Linked DNA regions of Caenorhabditis elegans. The protein of the gene in region 2 purifies or fractionates together with the protein of the main gene of each other region. This does not show direct contact. Each region holds a gene or a part of one and is shown on either strand. Other genes may lie near its edges. The genes, in order: pab-1 and atx-2.

What was found.
Region 1: the proteins of atx-2 (region 2) and pab-1 purify together in Caenorhabditis elegans (affinity purification with mass spectrometry, with the first as the bait; one study listed by BioGRID). This does not show direct contact.

The regions. Positions count from the first base shown.
Region 1 is NC_003279.8:10,432,234-10,437,226, forward strand, and holds pab-1 (Polyadenylate-binding protein), read right to left. Parts: upstream 3,006-4,993; 5' UTR 2,999-3,005; coding exon 2,743-2,998; intron 2,692-2,742; coding exon 2,498-2,691; intron 2,446-2,497; coding exon 1,855-2,445; intron 1,809-1,854; coding exon 1,524-1,808; intron 1,476-1,523; coding exon 1,062-1,475; intron 1,012-1,061; coding exon 811-1,011; 3' UTR 628-810; downstream 1-627. Other genes in the region: Y106G6H.1 (Saposin B-type domain-containing protein), read left to right, coding at 1-50; rpl-30 (Large ribosomal subunit protein eL30), read left to right, coding at 4,031-4,054, 4,235-4,383, 4,437-4,611; madf-10 (MADF domain-containing protein), read right to left, coding at 4,679-4,993.
Region 2 is NC_003281.10:10,459,703-10,467,474, reverse strand, and holds atx-2 (Sm domain-containing protein), read right to left. Parts: upstream 6,087-7,772; coding exon 5,751-6,086; intron 5,703-5,750; coding exon 5,411-5,702; intron 5,288-5,410; coding exon 5,026-5,287; intron 4,707-5,025; coding exon 4,533-4,706; intron 4,479-4,532; coding exon 4,243-4,478; intron 3,020-4,242; coding exon 2,660-3,019; intron 2,607-2,659; coding exon 2,385-2,606; intron 2,150-2,384; coding exon 1,740-2,149; intron 1,603-1,739; coding exon 1,288-1,602; intron 1,181-1,287; coding exon 889-1,180; intron 434-888; coding exon 221-433; intron 172-220; coding exon of another isoform or gene 164-171; coding exon 63-163; downstream 1-62. Other genes in the region: ecps-1 (Proteasome component Ecm29 N-terminal domain-containing protein), read left to right, coding at 6,925-6,997, 7,046-7,167, 7,226-7,336, 7,391-7,515, 7,562-7,705.

The DNA.
Region 1 (4,993 bases), on a different chromosome or scaffold from region 2:
AAGACTATCATATGGAATTCGAGAAAAGAAACCTTCACGATGAACTTTAGACGTTTTCTTATAATTGCATAATTTAATTTTTATAAACTTTTTACTTTGCTGATTCTTCTTTTATATTTTGTGTCTTTAAACAAAACGCTGACTTTCCTTTCTCCAATATTAATAGTCTCTAGAGTCACGAACAGTAGTCGAATTCCTGTGTTCAAGTAGTAAATGTTTACTCTCACCGGATACCAAAACTTAACTCATTTTACTAAATGTTCACGATGAAACGAAGTGTAGCATTTTGTTTAATATTAATTCCTATAACAATTTCAACGCAATGTTTCGTTTGCGATTCATTTCAAGGTTATTGTGATTTCGATGGTTCAACATGTGTTGGTCCGAAATGTTCGAGACGAACAGCGCCCATGACTAGTGAGTTAATTATTATACAATTGCAGTCAGCTTCGAATTTCAGATGGTTTGATACGTGAACAACGAATTTGCGTTCCATCCGATTCTCCTATTGGGTGTAGAAAAGCTGTTTTGTGGGATGAGATGGAAGGTGTCGAATGCGTTTGCGAAGGGCATCTGTGTAACATTGCTTCTTTTTTTTCTATAACTTGCCCATTAACATTGATTATTTTTATGATTTTATTTTAACGTGAATAAACATCACAAAAGTGAGCTTACTCAAGGGGTGGGGTGTGGGGCGGCTAAACCAACCACTAACAAGTAACAAAAAGAAGGGTGACAGTAAGAAAAAAAAACAGGAGATGGGTATGCTTAGCAACTGGGGGAACGTGCTAAGAGCACTTGGCAATGAACTTATTGCTTCTGAGCGGAAACGAGAACCGATGCAGCTTCGTCGACCTTCGAGCGGAACAATTCACTATCTTGAAGCATCATGATCAACTCGGAATTGTCGATTTCGAGCATCATTCCTGTGATTTTTCCTGCGTCCTTGTGTCCCGGGTAGAGTTTCTCAATGAGAGCGTAGATACGCTCACCAAGAAGTTGCTTTTGCTCCTGAAAAGATGTATCATGAAATTAAGTATTGCAAAACAAAGTAAGCTTACCTGAGGAGCAGCAGCGGCCAACATTGCAGATGTGAGTGGCTCTTGTCCTCCAATAACGATTCCTTGTGGTCTTTGCTGGTATGCCTGATATGGCTGTGGTGGAGCCTTTGGTCCGGTTGGAGCTGGTCTTTGCTGCTGTTGTTGCTGTGGTGGACGTGGAACGTTTTGCTGTTGGACTCCAGGATTTTGGGTGCGTGGTGGTCCCTGCATGCGGACGCCTCCTTGAGCGACTTGATTGTACTGCTGTGGTGGACCGCGTGGTCCTCCTTGTTGGTTCTGTGGACGTCCCATGCGGTTTTGGTAGACACCTGGGCCTTGAGCCATCATGTACTGATTTTGGACTGGGTACTGATTTTGCATTCCCCAGCGACCTCCTGGGCGAACCATCTGTTGTCCACCGGCGAAGTTGCGCTGCTGAAATAATAAATTCGAGCATTACAAAAAAAACAACAAAAAACTAACCTGTTGCATCGGATTAGCAACATAGTATCCTGGTCCTGGCTGTGTTGGGTTGTACATGGCTGCTCCTGGAACGTTGCCGTGCATTCTCATGCTTGCAAGACGTTGCATGTATTGAGAAGCAAGCTGTGCACGACGATCTTCTTTACGTTGAGCAATAGCCACATACAATGGCTTTGAGCACACCATTTTTGAGTTCATCTCAGTCACTGCACTTGTAGCTTCCTCCGGCTTTTCGAAGCAGACAAAACCGAATCCCTTTGATCTCCCATTTTCGTCAGTCATGACCTAAAAATATTATGTATATGATAGCATTTTGAAAAAGTTTACCAACCTTAGCACTCGTGATGTTTCCGTAAGACTCGAATTGCTTCTTCAAGCCATCATCATCGACAGTCTCGTCGAGGTTTTTGACGTAGAGATTGACTCCTTGATACTTCTGCATACGCTCAGCCTTGTGTTGCTCGTGCTTCTTTTTCAATTCAGCGTGTCTCTCAGACTTCTTTTGGGCACGGCAGACATGAAGTTTCAAGTCAGTTCCCTCGATGGTTGAATCGTGAAGAGCTTGCACAGCAGTCTCGGCCTCTTCTGGATTAGCAAAAGCAACAAATCCGAATCCCTTGGACTTTCCCTCGACAGTCATGACTTCGCAGCTGGTAATGTTTCCGAACTTGGCGAAGAGCTTCTCAAGGGTTTCCTTGTTGTAGTGATCTCCAAAGTTCTTCACGTAGACATTGGTGAACTGTTTGGCAGTCTCTCCAAGCTCGCGATTGCGTTGAGCACGTGGCTGGAATTTGCCAACGAAAACCTTCTTCCCGGCCAGAAGCATGCCATTGACTTTTTGGATAGCATTTTGGGCAGCTTCCTCGGTCTCGAAGTGAACGAAACCGTAGCCTTTGCTGAATCCGTCCTCGTCGATAGCAACCTGTACAACATAAATTGAAGGCGGTTTGGCAATGCTCTAAAGAAAACGTTACCTTGCAGGAGAGAATGTTTCCGAACAGGGAGAAGGTATCGTAGATTGACTTGTTGTCGATGACCTTATCGAGGTTCTTGATGAAGATATTGCCAGCTCCCGAACGACGCATAGCTGGATCTCTTTGAGACCACATGATTCTCATTGGTTTGCCGTGAAGAGCCTCGAAGTTCATGGTGTCCATGGCACGTTCAGCTGAAAATTGAATTGAATTAAAGATTGAAGTGAATTTGGAGACAAACAAACCATCAGCTGGTTGTTGGAAGTTGACGTAGGCATAGCCCAATGAGAGACGAGTGGCATTGTCTCTGCAGACACGAATAGAAAGAACAGGGCCGGCAGCGCTGAACTTCTCGAACAGGATCGACTCGTTGACGTCCGGGTGGAGGTCTCCGACGTAGAGCGAAGCCATGGTGTACGACGAGCCGGTCTGATTTTGGCCTGGTTGAGGAGCAGCAGCGCCAGCAACGGCGGCAGCGGGAGCAGCGACGTTCATTTCCATGATTTTACTGAATTGAAGATTGAATAAATAGAATAGAAGTAATATTTTAGTGACCGTCACGTATTTCCGTACTTTTTTATTATGGGTGAGGAGTTGGGTCACGGAACAACGTCTAGCGAGGAAGTCAGGCGACGTCTAGCCAGACCGCGGGTTAATGTAGTGTCTGCCTACCTACAACTAAAGAGCAAATGACGATAGTACGCTAAGAATAGCAGAAAGGGCGGAGTTAGCCTAATTGTCTAATAAACGCTCACATCTCGGGACCTGGGAAGTATCGATCGGGAAACACGCAGCAATTATTCGTATCGGTAAAAAATTACTTGTTATTCAACAAAAAGAGACAGAAAACTATATGTCCTTCCCAAATAATCATAGAAAACAATTTAGCACGGAAACAAGTAACGGTTCGAATTACGAAATAGGAAAAATCAATAAAACTCACGTTTTGGTGTCGGATCGTCCAAAGAATAATTTTTTTGGTGATTTTTAGGGTTTTTTAAATTTTTATGGGTTTTTGAGCAGTTTAAATTGGGATTTACTGTCCTTTTGCTCAGAGCCAGGAGAACTCGGATCCCAAAAACCGGAAAAAGACACACTAGTGTTTCAAGGGAGGAGGGAATGTGCCGATGGGTCTCGCCACGAAATGCATCGCGAACCGTAGTTATCGCTGCTTTGCCCCTATTTCTGGCCCAAAATCTGATACTTTTCGCTGTTTCGTTTCTTTTTTGCAGAAAATTATGTTTTTGAAACCAAATTTTAGTTTATTCGACTTATTTCTGTTTTTTAGTTGCAAACTTTCAACAGATAAACGCCTTTTTATATAATTCTTCAAGCTGTAAACTATTATAAATTGAATTTCTTACCACTTATTTTTTGAGACGTTGAAATTTTCTGAAGTAGTACGGATGATCGCTTTCGTAAAGACGTTTTGAAGTTATTTGTTTTTTAATGTGCCGTCCTTCTTTTGCTCTATTTACGTGGCTCAAATTAGAAGTTCACGCAGTTATTTTTTCTATTTTCAGGTAAATCATCATGGCTCCAGCTGCTAAGCCACAGGTTAGTGAAGTTTCTCTGGAGTTAAATTTTCGAGCAGCGATGGAGTAATCCGGAGCTCGGGTGATTTAATTGAGAAGGAGTAGCTTCCCCGCTCATTCTGTCACGGGCTTCGGGTGCTCAATGTAAGCGCTCGCGAATTCTCCAATATTCGAACGCCTGATGATCCATATATTCGTTTAGGTCAAGAAAAATGCTGAGAACATCAACTCCCGACTCTCCATGGTCATGAAGACTGGACAATACGTCCTCGGATACAAGCAGACTCTCAAATCCCTTCTCAACGGAAAGGCTAAGCTTGTCATCATTGCCAACAACACTCCACCACTCAGGTAAATCAATATTTATCATTTCGGATTTTTATTAACTCATGATTAATTTTCAGAAAGTCCGAGATTGAGTACTACGCCATGCTCGCCAAAACTGGAGTTCACCACTACAACGGAAACAACATTGAGCTCGGAACCGCCTGTGGACGTCTCTTCCGTGTGTGCACCCTTGCAGTCACTGATGCCGGAGACTCCGACATCATCCTCAGCGTTCCATCTGAGAGCGCATAAGCTGTTTGTTATTGTTACAATAAATTGTTGAAAACAGTTTAGAATCAGTATTTTTAACACAAATTGTTTATTGCAAATCAGGTGCGGCTTTAGTAACACTTTCCAGTTGCGCTTCGTAAACGATGTCACGGATGGACTTTTGGATCTTCAGCCAGTGTATGCGATCCTTGTATCCTATTTCTTTCAATGGGAGGTACAACGATCGACAGAATTCCATGTACTCGTCAGATGGCATTTCTTCTAGTTTCTCTTTCTTAGAAGAGGGACCTTGGTATAAATCGTACGGCTGTCCCTGGAATTGCATCGGACGTTTTTTCATCACAAAATCGTTTTGATTCACACTGTCCAGGAACATGAGCGAATCAAAAAACTTCCATTTCGG
Region 2 (7,772 bases):
ATATATTGGGGAAACATTATATAAAGCACTGAAAAGCGCAGGAAGAGCGCATATAGATATGATTACGGGGGGCTCTGAGAGTGCTGCTGATCACGTGGTGTGCCTTGTTGAGACGGTGGTGGCGGTGGTGGTGGACCAGATTGTTGACCAGATGGATTTACACCTTCAAAGCTTCATAAACGGTTAGAAATTTGAACTTTATAAACATTTAAAACATTACCTTGATTGCCTTGGAACTGCTGTGGAAGCGAATTCTGGCGGTGCATTTGTTGCTGTTGCTGTTGTTGTTGTTGCTGATAGTTTGGCATTGTACGGTAGTCAAAGTATCCCGACGTCGGGAATCCTTGATCAGATCGCTCGCCCATAAGACTTTGTTGAGGATGTTGGTTCTGTTGCATTGGCATCTGTTGGGGCATTATCATCGGATAGAATACTTGCTGAAAATGATTGAAAATTAGATTTACGTTTTTTTCTCGGTTTTGTTCTTTTATAGAGTGTGAGACATTTTCAAATATTTCTCAAAAAATGGTAATTTTAAATAAAATCTCAAAATTCAATTCAAAAAAAAAATCTATCCAGAAAAATTGCCGAAATAGGAGATCTCAGCTAAAATTTGCCAATTTTTCGTTGATTTGGGCACATTCAAGTTCTACAGTCGGAATCGAAACTTTCTCGCTATTTTTAAGAAAAAAAGTATGAAAAAAAACATTAGGCAATTTTTTCTCCTTTTTCACTGGGCGATTTCAGCTGTAGAACTTGCAGATCTACAAAAATTTAGCAGAGTCAATCACAATTTTGTTCTGAAACTTCTGAAAGAAAGGAAAAAAAACAAGAAAACCAAAAATCAAAAATACCACTGAAAAAAGGAAAGAAAGAGAGAGATTAAACATGCCTGAGGCTGCTGATAGTAATTAGGGATCTGCGGATGCATTTGATGCGGTCCCTGCATCACCATATACTGTTGAATGTGTTGCTGCTGCTGCTGCATCATCTGTGGTGGTGGTGCTCCGACGTGTGGAGGAGCATGATGTGGTGGATGTTGTTGTTGCTGATGCTGCTGCTGTGGTGGTGGTGGTGGAGGAACAGCACCTGGTGGAGATCCGCTTCGTTGTCCCGACTGAGAGCTCGTCGATCCGCTGTGACTAGCGTTGCTGCTCGACTCGGCCTGCATGTTTCCGTTCTGAAAATAGAGTCACGGTCACAATATTGAAAAGCTTCATCTTATTAGGCACAGAAAGTTTGAAAGAGGGAAACATGCGAATAAGTTTAAAAAAAAAGAAATCTCACCTGTGGAGCACCGCTCATCTTTGGCAACTCGCCACGTGGTCCCGGAGTCGTTGGCTGACTATTCGGATGTGATTGTGGGCGACTTTGCTCTCCGGAGAATTGTTGTTGCTGCGGTTGTTGCTGTTGCTGTTGCTGTGGTGGTGGAGGACCCTGGTATCTCGGCTGCTGCTGCTGACCCTGTGGAGGCATCATGTACACTTGTGGCTGCTGATATCTCTGTTGATAGGCACCCTGTGGAGCTTGCTGTGGCATCATCTTCATTTGGTATGGAGCAGCTTGCTGCATCTGGCCTTGGTACTGTGAATGATAGAATTGCTGAAAAAATTTAGAATTTTTGGAATTGAGAAATCAGGAATTTTAGATTAGGAAAAGTTTAAAATTCTAAAAATTCAAGGCCTTTAAAAATAAATGTTTTCCCTATTTCTACAGGGATATTCCAAATTTTCGGTTACCTGAGATGTGACTGGAACCATTTGTGGCGGTCCATATGGCATGTAGAGTGGCTGCTTCTCACGATACTCTCCATCTCTCAACTGATGATTCTGACCACCAGCCGCACTGGTTGGCACCTGATGCTGCTGATTTGGCTGCTGAGCAACAGTGACCGGAGTCGCAGCTCCCGGGCCATACATCTGTCCAGGAACACCTTGCATTGGGACATGTTGAATTGGGAATTGATGATTCTGTGGATAGCCGCCACCGCCTTGTTGCTGTTGTCCAGTCTGTTGCCACATCATCATCGGTGGTTGACCTTGATTTTGTGGGCCGCCCATGTGTGGTGGAACCATTCCCATTCCAGGAGCAGGTGGTCCTTGTTGTGGAGCCATCATTGCTGGATGTGGCTGTTGTTGTGGATGATATTCTGAAAATTTTAGAGTTAAAACTCCGTCTTGGCAGCCAAAATTTTTGTATCAAAAATTGATACCTATGTGTATTTAGAAAAATATTTATTTTGGTTTAAAAATTCCCTCTCAAATGACACAATTTGAGATCTTTCTCAAACCTTTCAACAAAAATTATCTTTTTTCTACATACATTTCTGTATTAATTTTTGATACAAAAATACTGAAAAAAAGCCGTTTTGTTCGTTTTCCTACCATTTTGCACTGGAGTCGTCGCTGTTGGAGTCGCCGGAGCCACACGTGGCTTGAACTCTGGAGCATTGATGTTGAATTTGAACGACGATGACTTCGAAGTGATCACTGAATCATTCTCTGAAGTAACGGAAACATTGTCGTCTTCCTGATGCTTTTCCGCGTCGTTCTGTACGTTTTGCACTGGTGCAGCTGCCACATCGACGCTTGTGGATGGAGCTTCTTCTGGAAATTGGCAAAATTGTTCATTTTTGTTGAGAAAAATAGAAAATAGATACCTTTTTTAGTCTCAGCCTCCTCTCCATTGGTTGTCGGTGGTGGAGTCGACTCATTTGATGATCCCTTGGCAACCAGCGAGCTCGGTGGTCCGCGATTCCAGGCACTACCCGAGTTTCCAGCTGGCACCGCCGGAGCCTGATCCTTTGGAGCCGTCGCAATCGAAAACTCGTTGCCCCAGTTCTTGAGATCTGTCACACGGGATCCACCGGCAGCAGCAGTGGCAGTGGTGGCAGATTGAGCTTTATCGTCAGCCGGCTTCACATTGTTGTTGGGTCTCGGATCCAGCATCTGCTTCTGCTGTTGACGGAACGAGTGGTCGTGGCCCTGGTTCTGGCCCTTCCCCTTGGCCATCTGCCAGTCTGAAAATTAAGTAGAATGAGTCATTGTTTAAACAAAAACGACGGAAATTGTTTTCTAAGGAATCAAAAATCGAATTTTTACCAAAAATACGTTACCCGGTCTCGGCACGACAAGCTTGTTTAATGCAAAAGGGTGGGCGCCTTGAAAAAATATTTCAAACTCTTGTTGCTGTGGAATATTCATATGAAACTATGAAAAAACAGAAATTTCGCAGCAAAAAGAGTTTGAAAATACAGTACTCTTTAAAGGTGCATACCATTAAACACAAATATGTCGTGTCGAGACCGGTTACAGTATTTTAACGCTATACCAAAATGCTCTTGATCTGATTCTGACAGATTTTCAAGAGGAATTTAAATCAAGATTTCTTTTAAAAGACACTAAAAACTTCGAAAACTGTGGAATTTCCATTATCTAGAAGGATCTGAGGACTGGTGAAGCTGCAAAGGAGGCAAAAAAGGTATGAACGATCGCATGTTTCATCATCATTCAGACACACACACAACAACAAAAAATCACCGAGAAAAAAGAGAGCGGAAAGGAATGAGAGAGAGAGAGAAAGTGTGGCGCCTCCCTAACGATCGATTGGTACACAACATAGACAACACGGTTTTTCGAGAAGAACACAACCAACTTGTGATGATGATGATGAAGATGATAAGCGGTGAGGAAGCGGACAGAGAGAGAGAGGTAGACAGAGGTAGAGAGAGAGACTTGATGAAAGCATGTATCAGAGACGCAGGTGTGTTTGTATGGATAAACTGGGACCCGTTCGGTCATTTTTTCAATTTTTTTTTTCGGCGTTTTCACTTAAAAATCGGCATTTACTTGTTTTTTCTGACACAAAGAAAACGTTTTTCAGTCAAAAATCGGAAAAAAAAACGATTTTTCCACTGAAAATAACACTATTGCAGAATTATTTCGTATTTCTGTGATCAAAATGTGAGGAAAGAATGAAAAATTGGTTTTCTGATGGGAAAAATCTGATTTTTTTGCTGAAAATTTGCAAAAAAAAAATCGCTTTTTTCCGCATCCCACGAGGAAAAACACTCCAATTAATCAGCTGAAGACAACCGCTGCAGCCGCTAGCGAAATTATGTCATGCGAAATGGGTCAAGAAAACGGAATACACCGAAAAAAGAACTGTTGGACGCGGAGAAAGAGAACGAGAGAGAGATAATGATCAAAGAGACACACTGTACTCTCGGGAATGTACACGAACCATTTTCCTCGTTCTGGCGGCGATAACCTTTTTGACCTTGCTGCTGCTGCTGATTCTGTGAATAGTTCTGCTGAGCCGCTGCTGGAGCACCGTAGCGACTATTGTTCGCTGAAGAGCTTCCACTATTACGACGATCTCCGCGAAGACCCTCGGCACGTCGATTCACTGGCTGCCCGTTTGGTGCAATATTCGGATTGCGGCGCTGTTGTTGTTGCTGGTTGAAGCTGTTATTATTGCTGAAACAAATAAATTTTTAAATTAATAAATTCAAATTTTTAAAGAATTCCAACCGCTTTCGGCCATTGCCATTCTCGAAATCCTCTTGACGCGTGATTTTGTCCAAATCTCGCTCGTCGTCGTCGTTCTCCAAGTTCGCCATAAACTTCGACGACGAGTTGGACTCAATTTCTCTAGCGAGCCGCTCGGCGCGTGCTCGATCTTCGTCGGTTCCTACCACTTCGACGCTGAAATTTGGGATTTTATTGCTTTGCACGATGTTTTCCAAAATTAAAATTAAAAAATCGGGTCAAAATATAGGAAAGCACTTGATCCATCAGAGAATAACACTGATTTCGGTAGAAATATTCGAAAAAATGCTTAAAAATAACCTGAAAATTGTCAATTATCAACTTTCAGGACATTTTTATGCAAAATTTTGCAAAAATGGTTCAGTGACAAGATTTTTTCAAGGCAAAACTGAAAAAAATAGATTCAGATGCCCAAAAACGCTTGCAGACTCCGAAAATCCTGGATTTTTCAAGCGAAAAAATTCAAATAAATTACGTTGTGTATTGCGTTAAATCCTCTTTGAACGTCGACACCACGTTCATCTTCTCGTTGGCGGCGAACATGTCGTTGACCGACCATCCGGTGCCGTTGTTGTGATTGTTGCTGCGACGAGCGGCGGTTTGTCCACCAGCAACGACGACGTCGTCCTCAATGGATCCTCCGAGTCCGTCCTCCTCACCTCCGTTCCATTCCTGAAGCTCTTCGCCCTCGATTGGAGTATCTCCGTGGTATTGTCTATCGGTGACGAATTTGCTGACTGAAAATGGAGAGTTTTTCAGCTTTTTCGGATTAAAAATCGTAACTGTGAACCCGACTTGGCCCAAAATTAAAGATGTCATGCATTTTTTTTAATGAAAAAGTTCCCTGAAACAGCTCTTACCAGCATGCTGCTTCTTGATCTCTTGCGTAACGTACGCAAAATCGACAATATCACTATAGTGAAATACCATCTTGTCTCTGCATTCCGACTCTGTTCTCAGCAAGTTATTCTCGTTCTCCTTCGTAATTTCCACGACGCACTGCATCCCGAAATCGAAATCCTGAGACACGGCGCCCAGCACCCCAGAATATCGCTTTTTGTCCGTAGTATTAATGATAATTACACGTCCGATCATATCATTGATGGCGCTCAACACATCGCCATTTAGCGCAGGAAGACCCGTTGGTGTTGACTGGAAAAATTGTATTTTTAAAGAAATTTTCAAGTTGCCAGCGCTTACCATTTCTTTCATTCGCACTTTGGATGCAAATAAAATATAAATAAATAGAAGATTGTCTGTGGAGCAGTCAAAGAGTTTGGGTACAGGAGAAATGTACCTGAAAATGGAAAAAATTTGAATTTTAAAAACAGCAATTTCGCAACGATAATGGAAGTTTAATATGAGTAACAGTTTTGGGCAAATTTTTGAAATTTCCAACACAATCCCGTTTTTCAAGGTTTCACCACGTGCAAAACGAGCCACAAGAAGAAAATTATCCACAAAATTCGCGGAAAAATTTGAAAAACGTTCGAGAGAGAGACGAGAGAGCACGCAGACAGCGGAGGACACGCACATGCGGTAAATGACGCGCCGATTTCCGTCGGGATTGCCTGAGACTCCGCCCTATGCAAGTGCGCCGCACAGGGTTTCGCAAGTGTGCCGCGCGCATTTTACACAGTGGGGTTTTCAGGAAAGTCGATATAGTGGGAATTAGTGGATTTTTTCCAAGGAAAGTGGTAAAACATGAACATTTCGCCTCAACAGTTGAGTTTTTGGGCAATGAATAAAAGCATTTTCCCCAAATCAAAAAGTTTATCCGCAATTTATTGAATTAGGTCTGACAAAATTCAGATTTTGTTCTTAAAAGAAAGATAGGACATTTCTTCATAGGAGCACACACTTTTTTCATTTGACAAAAAATTATCTTGCCGGGTACCACATTTCTCGTGCAAAATTTCGCGATTGGGAAATATTTATCTGTTTGACACCACAGATTTTGGGGAAACTCCCACTCGGAGAAATTCTTTCCCTGCGCTATCTTCCAATACACTTTGTCGATAATACAATTTGAAATAAACAAAACTAATTCTCAATTTAAAATTTATCGCTCATCAAAAATATTTAAAAATTTCCCCTGTTTTTCGGTCTTTTTTTCAAGACTCAAATTTCTGTAGAGAAAGGTTCTGTGACGTCTCTTGTCAAGTTCGCCCCATTGACACGATGAAGAGAGACGCAGACTGAAAATAAAAATATTTTTGATGACATTTTGGAATAAATTCAAGAACATTTTACTTTTTGCGGAAAAACCGAGTTTCTCGTATTGTTTTGAACAATTTTTAGCAATTTCAGTGTAATTTCTTCATTTTTCGACGTTAATTTCTTCGTAAAACGCTAAATATTTAGTATTTTCAGCATGGAAAGCCCAATGGAAGTCGATGCTCCCAGAGAATCAGCTTCGCTGACGTCTCTCGACTCAGCAAATGATGGTAAGCTAGTCTAGCTTCTAATTTACATAATGAACTTGAAATTTTCAGTGGAAAGAGTCTTCCTGCGGCTCGTCAACGCCAACTCGGACGCCAAGCTACAAACTATCACAGATCGGCACTTGTGCGATGTGTTGGAGTTTGCCGGGAGAAAGCAGGAGCACATTCAGCTGGTAAGACGCAAAAATTCGCTGAAATTTGATTCAAAATGACTAAAATTCGTGATTCCAGGTCACCGAATTTCTCACACACTTCAACAAAGTCGTCAAGAGCAATTTGGCGATCCGTCTCCCAGTGCCACGTCTGCTCGAACTTTTCCAAGGCCCGAGTGCCATTTCATCGGTTTGTAGCGTTCTCCAGACGATGTATAACCCAAAAAATTAATATTTTTTCCAGAATTTCAGTCTGATCTATCTCAAAATGGCAAAAGACCGGATCCAGGCCGCCGAGCAGCTAGAGTTTCTGCCTGTATACTTGACATCGTTCAGCAAGAAGCCCAATGATCTCAATTACATTTACGAGTAAGTAAAGTAGAACTATTTATATTTTCTATATAATTTTTTCCAGCATTCTCTCGTTGTGCCTGCCGGGACTCCACGAGCTCGCGAGAATCGAGAAAAAACACTGGCCGACGATCGAGATGAGCTCTGTCGACGTGGAAATCATTGCCAGATGCTTTCAGGCGATTCTCGTGTTCTCTGCACGAAGCATGTACGTAATTTCAGTTTTCAGAAGCGAATTTCCTGGTTTTAATCTGAAACATGCCTAGCATTTTGTT